Oryzias latipes: one gene and its partner. The protein of the gene in region 1 purifies or fractionates together with the protein of each later gene. This does not show direct contact. Links are inferred from orthologs where the notes say so. Each region holds a gene or a part of one and is shown on either strand. Other genes may lie near its edges. The genes, in order: obsl1 and calcium/calmodulin-dependent protein kinase kinase 2.

Region 1 (3,818 bases):
CGGAGAATCGTGATCCAGTCTGCTAATGCGTCACACTCTGGAGTTTACACTTGTCAAATGCCCGGGGACGTCATCACTTTTAATGTAGACGTTGCAGGTAAGAAGACACTTTTGGTAAATTGCAACATGTGTCATAGCTTAAATTAAATATGTTTTCCTCCTATTGGTTGATTTAAAAGACCCACTCTGATCAAAATAAAAAATAAAATGTGTTTTTCAATTTTTTTTTGGCATTTTCTGATGACAGACACAGTATATAAATAAAATTAAGATTAGAATTGCTTTTCTGTGTATTTGACAAAAAAATGCAGTTTGAAAAACAACATACTTGTGACATAGAAAATACTCCATGTTCTCCAAATAATCCATGTTCCTCTGTGTTTTCCCTCATCTGAGCGGGCATCTGGCTCAAAACTATACAGCTGGGTAGCTCCTATGTGCCATTTTTTTTTTTGCACCGCTGATGACACGTTGAGGGTTGTAACGCGCTGTAAACTAGCAGGAAAGCATGTAAACAGAGAGCTCCCAGCAACGGGGAGGGGAAGGGCGGCAGGGTTGCTCTGTACAGATGGTCCTGCCCACACTCAGAGTCAAATTTCTAATCAACTACTGCCGTTCTGCAGACACTGTGACAAAAGTCTTTTTTTTTTTAAAAAACAGCATTACCACGCTTTTACAATTGATCAAAAGATGATCGGAGTGGGACTTCAATTGAAGTGAAAAATCTTATCAAAGTGTTAATTGTTCAAAAATATCAACAAAATGTCACTGTGTGGAGTCTTGGAACTTCATATATAAACTTTAATCAAATGAAGTATAGAAAAGTTTCAATTTGAGGTAGTACCTTGTATTTGGTAGCTTCCTCCTGTATTTCTTCAGGTCCCCCTGTAGAATTTACTCCAGTGCAGGAGGAGGAGCTCATTAAGAGCAGCATGGAGCTGGACCCCGTGGTGCTGCTGTGCCATGTCTCCAGAGAGGATGCTGAAGTCAAATGGTAAGCAAGACGTTCCTGCAGTCTAGATGACAGTAGAAGGTAGAAAATGTTCAGAAAACTTTACATATAGAAAACAACAACAACAACAAAAACCCCTGAATGGATTGCTTTAGGCATAAAAACGGTCAGGAGGTCCAACCAAGTGACAACATAACTCTCCAGGTGGAAGGAACCATGAGGAGACTAATTATTCGCTCTGCAGAAAGCTCAGATGCTGGGTGCTACACCTGCCAGGCAGGAAAGAACAACGTGGTGTTTACCGTCAATGTCAAGGGTATCGCCTCTTGTATTCACATTATTAACTGTCAATCCAGAGTAGGAATCAAAAGACATTTTTCATCTTCCAGAACCTCCAGTTATGATTGTGGAACCTAAAGAGGATGTAGTGATGAAGATCTACATACCAGAGGAGATAAACTTGCAGTGCGAGTTATCTCGCTCCAATGGGAAGGTGCGGTGGTTGAAGGATGGCGAGGAGGTGCGGGATAATGACTTAATCCAGCTGGTGTCAGAAGGTCCCTACAGAAAACTGACCATCCTGCGCAGCTGTAAGGAGGACAGCGGGGAGTACATCTGTGAAACCAATGGGGACTCCGTCTTCTTTCAGGTTACTGCGACAGGTAAAAGTAAAGCCAAAGTAAGGAATGGCTAAACTAGGTTTCAATGATTAGTGTTGAATTTAATTTTAGAAATTTGCCTTGCAGAACCACCTGTAAGAATTATTTCTCCTAGCGATTCAGAAGTAGAAGTGACACACTTGGCGTCAGAGAGGCTGGAGCTATGCTGTGAGATCTCCAAAGTGGATGCCCCAGTTAGGTGGTACAAAGACAATCTAGAAGTAGAGGAAGGTCCTAACTTGATCCTGGAGGTGGATGAAGCCAAACGACTACTAGTTATACCCTTAGCGACAGTGGAGGATACAGGAGAGTATGTTTGTGACACTGAAGACGACTCTACGGTCTTCTTGGTGACTGTTACAGGTGAAATAAGGGATTTTTCAAATTTAAAACAAGACAAAAAGTTTTTTCCTTACATTTAATTTCTAAAAACTTTTTTTTTAATCTAGAGCTGCCAGTCACACTTTCTCGACCCAAAAACATACCGGAAAAACTGGTTAGGGCAGCAGGTAAACCAATTGTTTTGGAGATTGAAGTGTCGCGGCCAACAGCAGAAGTCAAATGGTGGCTTGATGGTAAAGAAGTAAAGCAAAGCAGTAACGTCACCATAACGGAAGATGAGTTCATCCGTCGACTAACCATTCACTCGCCTACTCCAGAAGATTCTGGGAAATATACCTGCTACACAACCGATGATAAAATTGACTTCCAAGTTAAAGTTTTAGGTAAGGATGTCCTTGCAAATATTTTCCCTGGTCAATGAACAGTTTTGAGACTTTGATCTATTTCTTCCTCAGAGCCACCTGTGTTGATCTTAAGAAAGTCGGAGATCAACACAAACCTGGAGTTTTTGGTTTCAGATGATATTGTCCTAGAGTGTGAGCTCTCCAGGGAAAACGCTAAAGCCAAGTGGTACAAGGATGGTGTTCGTATAGAGGGGGATGAAAGGTTCTGTGAGGAAGAAGAAGGAGCGTTCCGCTCACTTGTCATCCTCAATGCTGAACTCACTGATTCGGGGAAATACCTCTTGGATGTTGGAGACGACAGTATCGGTTTCCAGGTTTCAGTAAAAGGTGACGACTCAGCTGTTTGAGGAAATTTCTTAAAACAAAACTACTATAGCTCCAATAACTCTTCTTCTCGTAGAGCCACCCGTGACCATTGTAGGAAACTCATATGACCCTGATCACCAGGAGATGGTGGCAGGGGATGACCTTATACTCGCCTGTGAAGTGTCCCGAGCCAGTGCCCCTGTTAGCTGGTACTGTAATGACAAACTGCTCATCTGTGATTCCCGCACATCCATTGAAAGCTACGGAGCGGTGAGAAAAATTATTATCTCCTGCATCCAACCGTCAGACTCTGGAAAGTATATTTGCGATGCCATTGACGATAAGATGATCTGCACGGTCAGGATTCAAGGTACCAAACTCAAGAGTGGGTCTCTAAGCTCTAGACAAAAGAAGCATGAAGTCACTTGAAATTGATTTCGTCTTTTTTGTTTAAGAGCCTCCCGTAACATTTGTAAACAAGGAGGAGGATAATGTCGTGACAGGTTACGAAGCAGAGAGTGTGACCTTGACAAGCTACGTGTCCAAGGAGACTGCTCACGTACGTTGGCTTAAAGATTGGACACCTGTCGAGGGCGAGCGATTTTGTGCTCTCACGGAGGGTCATCAACGCACTCTCACCATTGAGCCCTTGAGACGCTCTGATGCCGGAGAATACACGTGTGATGCCAACACCGACCAACTCCACTTTAGTCTGCTGGTCAAAGGTAAAAATTATGTTATCCAACATAAGTGATGGAAAATGTAAGATTTAAATTCCCCCCTTTTGTGTTGGAGAAATGAGAATCAAGTTTCTAAGGCCGCTGCGAGACACTGTGGCTCACGCCGATGGCATGGTGACCCTACGATGTGAGGTGTGCAAACCAAAAGCGGATGTGCAATGGCTAAGAAATGGTGAGGAAGTGGTGCCAAGCAGGAGGTTCTCCATCCGGGCAGATGGGGTTGAAAGAAGTTTGACCATCCACCGTCTAACCCGAGAGGACGCGGGCGAGTATACCTGTGAGTCCAGAGATGACCGGACCTCTGCAGTACTGACAGTTAAAAGTGAGTAATATTCTAATAGGATTTTGTTTATTCATATAAAGTAAGGGTTTCACGAAATTTCTTTTGTCACTTTAGCACCTCGGGTGGTTGAGT
Region 2 (4,499 bases), on another chromosome or scaffold:
CATCTGGAACAGAGGAGGATCCCTGGTTTCATTCAAAGATCAACGGGGCAAATGCGTCTGCAGAGCTGAGTGAGCGATAAGCTCCTGGTAGTGCAGGGATGGATGTCACTGTCATCCTTCATCTCCTGACTTAATTGAGGCATTAACACACACACACAAGGCGGATAGAAAAACATCCATTCTTTCACCTCCAGATCAGCCAGAACAATAAAGATACATACATTTATGTCACTAATGAATTGTTTGCTTTCAAACAAGAACATGTTTTTTTTTTTCAGAACTTAACTTGTTTATATATATATAAGTACAGGATCTGTTTTTGAATCAATATATATATAATGCAGAGTGATTACTAGAATCGAATAACTTAAAATAAAATAAAAAACGATGTATTTTATGTTCATGTTGAGCACATTGCTGCTTGCAGTTTATCCACTTCTGCTCGTCCAATCCTCATGCATTACAACTGAGATGGACACAGATGATTGTGGTCAGCTCCCTAGACATCCTGGAGCTTCCAGCACTTTATAACTCCCTCCAAAAAAACAACAACTGGAAAGCAGTGTCATCCTAATATAGGAGTGCTACATCCTGTTACACAGAATCATGCTGATTTCATTACTGCAGAACTTTCAAACATGCATGTGCAGTGCTGCACATTGAGGATGTTTAAGAACTGTCCACGCGGGTGAGGAACCCCTTTTAAAAAAGCAGTTTATTGAACACGTATCGGTTGTTTTGAAGCACCACCATTATTTCTTCATGTAGAATCCGCTTCAGGATTGTGTCATGCAGCAATACACACTTTCATTTACATCAGAAATTGCATTTTCTGATTTGGTTATAAGTAAGATGAAAAAAAAAGAACTCTGTATTGCCCATATTATGAATATCCATGACTGATCTACAGTGAGATTTAGTCTGACAAAATCATGTTTGTCCAAATTTAGCCTAACCGGCTTACTGTAAAATCTAAAATAAACGATTGATGTAACGCAAATACAAACAAATCTTTACCCTACAAAAAACTCCCACTTAAAAAGATGAGAAAGGTCTGTAAAAAATTCACACTTATTTTCCCACAGCTCCCTTTAAACCTTTACACAGTTTTTTCCAAAAGAAGACTAAAAGAACACTGCAGTAATAAGGCTGTAATTCTGAGAGCACATGTGGGTTTAGGAAGCAAAGCTCTCACACTGCAAAAGGAGGAGAAGAACACTAATCTTAAGAAGAAAATCCCCAGAAAGTAGTAAAATTATCTATCCATGCACCAAGGAAGTTTTACTTAACAATATATCAAATATACAACAGAATTTAGAAACAATGAATTCCCCACAAGCATTGAAAAAGGCTGTTTGATGGAATTACTTCAACTTGAATCGTAAACAACCCGATAATGTTTTTTATTGCTAGATAAGCACATGGTTTAGGTTTTTTTTTAAAGGTTTTTATTAACCTAATTGTAGTTAAAAAAAACTAGAGTAAAAGTGGAAATGGCTCATTTTAAAACAAAATATGAACAAAGTGCGAATACCATCTTGGAACAACAAGTTGGCCAATCTTAATAAATCCTCATAAAATGTTTAAGTAGCACTTATATTTAGAAATCAACATTTTGGTTTCCAAAATAATGGCAGTAATTGCCAGTCTCACTTTTCAACATTTATTGAGCTTTAAAATAACATCGATTACAGTGCTGCCTTTCACCTCAGCAAATGGAGTTGGAGCAAACGGTTGGGAGTCATTTCAATAATATTTTTATTTTTTCTGCTCGTGTGCTAATTTTGAGAAAAACTTGGAAAAGTGTAGAGCAAAGAGAAGTTATATATATATATATATTATATATATAAGTGATACTCGTATAAGGTTTTGTTTAACCCTAATTAAAAAGCTTTAGACCTTTTCAAAAATATATTTGAGGAAACTATAACTTTTTTAAATCTCTTCAGTGTAAGTTTCAAGACATGTTTACCTAAACAGGTTTTTCTCCACAAACATGTTTTGAGATTCAATGTATTGGATTTTCACATTAATTAAATAAAAAATAATAGAAACAGGAAAGATTATTCTATTTTAGCTTACAGTTTGGTTTTTTTTTTCACTACAGAATTGTGTAATTGTGGATAAATATTAAACTTTAAATCCACCAAAATATTGTTTTGTACTAAAAAGTCCTAATAAATAACTGTTGACTTTAACGAGTTTTACTTAGCTATAATAGTAGCAATGTTTACATCTTTACTTAATGACACCTCAAACAGGAAATTTATATTTAGGTTACCTGTTAAAAATCATATTTTATTATTTATATATGTATTTTCTCTGTCAGAAAGTAAACAGAGTGTTGTTGTTTTGGGGAACTAGTAAGCTAACTGTCGCAGACTTTAAGTGGAGCAGCTGCGCTAGCATTAGCACCTGCTTCATGATCTGTCAAAATACAGATGTTGGACACGTCAAGGGAGACGGCGCGACTCTGACGTTTACCACAAAACATTGACACTTAAAAAAAACATAGCAACAAAATAAAAGGTTTGTTTTAAATCTTACCTTGAAGTGGAATTTCTGTCCCGTAAGCCGGAATATTGAAACGCCTTTTTTCCTCAGCTAAGGTTTAGCTTCTGCGAGCTAGCTAGCTGTTGAGGAGGCGTAGCAGATGTTATGATGGATGAAGCGAGCTGAAGCGCTCAGGTCCTGAGCTCCAGGGAAGGCGACAGTGTTTTCAGATTTAGCCGAATATCCACTGAAAATCCACTAAGGCTTTCGAAATCGCCTTTTCACCCTTTCGTTTATCTCGCCACTTCCATAAAATTCACTTCATGGTTTTTCTACTAATACTTTGGTAGCCGGAACACTCCCCCTTGTGTTGTCAAGTAAAACAGACATTTCCTATTTTATCTGCATTTTATCTAAAAAATTTTTGCTGGCGTTAATAGAATTCCAGGAAATGGAGAATTAAAAAAAACGTATGGATACTGATTGAATTAAAAATATTTTGGGGCTATATTTGTGATATTATGAAGGGGGGTTGGGGGTCAAGTTTATGAAGCTTTTTATTTTAGTTATTGTTTAGGGATACATTTTTAAAGGCAAAGATTTTTTTAGGGTTCTGAACCTTACACAGGGAAAAAACTGCTATAAAGAGCATCTTTCTAATCTTTTTAAAATCGTTTTAATGCAAAAGTTAAAAAAAGTTATTTGACATTTGCAAAGCCAAATATTTTTACCTCCGTTATTCATATATTTGAGCTTTTGCAGTTATTTCTAAAATGCAAACAGCAAGCTAGTTTTTTTTTTTCAAACTACCAAATTTACTTTACTTTTAAAAGTTTAAAAACTAATTCTGCTCAAGAAATCTAACTTGCACCTTGAACGGAAAAATGTACTGCTTTTAAATAAAAAAGAAATTAGATAGTCAGCATGTCAAACAAGTACAGGAATAATAAAAACAAGACAAAAGGGATATTAATTTAAGACATTTTGAAACATCTTTTATTTTTGTTTAAAAAAAAAAGAAAAATTCAAGAACTAACTTGCAAAGACAAGATTGCAAATAACAGACAAGTCATTCAAGTAAACGACATGAGAAAAAATAAAAACATTGAAAAGGAAAAGCTATCGTCTCTTCTGGAAAATGTTGCCTCTTCCCATTCCACCACGACCTCTGCCTCTTGCAGCCACTGCAAAGGGAGACAACAAATTCAGAAATAATTCAGTAAAAAAAAAAAAAAAACAGCATTCAGGAAGCAGGGTGTACCAAGAATAAGGAAAAGTGGACACACCATTTATCAGCATTGGTTAGGAACCACTCACCTTGTGCTTTCAGAATGGCCGCTTTGCCTCTTCCTGCTCCAGAACCCTGGTTCTTGTTCTTCATACTCTTTAACATTGGAGCGTTCTTTAACATGTCTGGTAAGATCAGAAAGCGGATCTTGCTGCCACGAATGTACACTTGTTCCAGCTGGGCAACCCGCCCGTCACGATAGGTTACTGTGATGTTGGACATCTGTTGGGACATAGAAATAAATGGTTCCGGTCTTAGATTCGTAAAATGGCTTGATACACGTTTACAGTGTTCAATGGAATGCAGGTTAACATTTTAAGTTATCTGTTAAACTTGGCAATGCAGTTCTCTATTTGAAAACACATTTGTAGATACTTCATTTAATCCCTTAAAATAATTTCTAACAACCTTTTTGATTTGTCATTTGATTAATAAGAAATCTACAATTATTAACAGAATATACGTTTTAGAATATTTAGCGTTTTGTTAAAGCCTTCACACTTATCTTTAGAGTACTTTTAAGACACACTGAGCTTTATCCACCAAAATTTCTGCTTTTAAATGAAATAAACAGATTTGGAGTCTATTAAACTTTTACTGCACTAATGAAGCTTGAAAAGACTATCAGCATTGACAGGATGTTTGGGAAATATATTTAGTTACAGTACTCAATACTTTAAGAAAAATGGCTTTAAATATTTCAAGGACAAATGTGCAT

What was found.
Region 2: the proteins of obsl1 (region 1) and calcium/calmodulin-dependent protein kinase kinase 2 purify together in Homo sapiens (affinity purification with mass spectrometry; 4 studies listed by BioGRID and IntAct, with this or other methods). This does not show direct contact. The link is inferred for Oryzias latipes from reciprocal best matches to the Homo sapiens genes OBSL1 and CAMKK2.

Annotation. Positions count from the first base shown.
Region 1 is NC_019860.2:13,810,679-13,814,496, forward strand, and holds part of obsl1 (obscurin-like protein 1), read left to right. Parts: coding exon 1-97; intron 98-879; coding exon 880-994; intron 995-1,107; coding exon 1,108-1,268; intron 1,269-1,341; coding exon 1,342-1,614; intron 1,615-1,698; coding exon 1,699-1,974; intron 1,975-2,060; coding exon 2,061-2,336; intron 2,337-2,408; coding exon 2,409-2,684; intron 2,685-2,757; coding exon 2,758-3,033; intron 3,034-3,118; coding exon 3,119-3,388; intron 3,389-3,458; coding exon 3,459-3,725; intron 3,726-3,800; coding exon 3,801-3,818. UniProt on the Homo sapiens protein: Core component of the 3M complex, a complex required to regulate microtubule dynamics and genome integrity. It is unclear how the 3M complex regulates microtubules, it could act by controlling the level of a microtubule stabilizer.
Region 2 is NC_019870.2:16,125,190-16,129,688, forward strand, and holds the start of calcium/calmodulin-dependent protein kinase kinase 2, read right to left. Parts: upstream 2,879-4,499; 5' UTR 2,548-2,878; intron 1-2,547. Other genes in the region: snrpd3 (small nuclear ribonucleoprotein Sm D3), read right to left, coding at 3,613-3,677, 3,811-4,003. UniProt on the Homo sapiens protein: Calcium/calmodulin-dependent protein kinase belonging to a proposed calcium-triggered signaling cascade involved in a number of cellular processes. Isoform 1, isoform 2 and isoform 3 phosphorylate CAMK1 and CAMK4. Isoform 3 phosphorylates CAMK1D.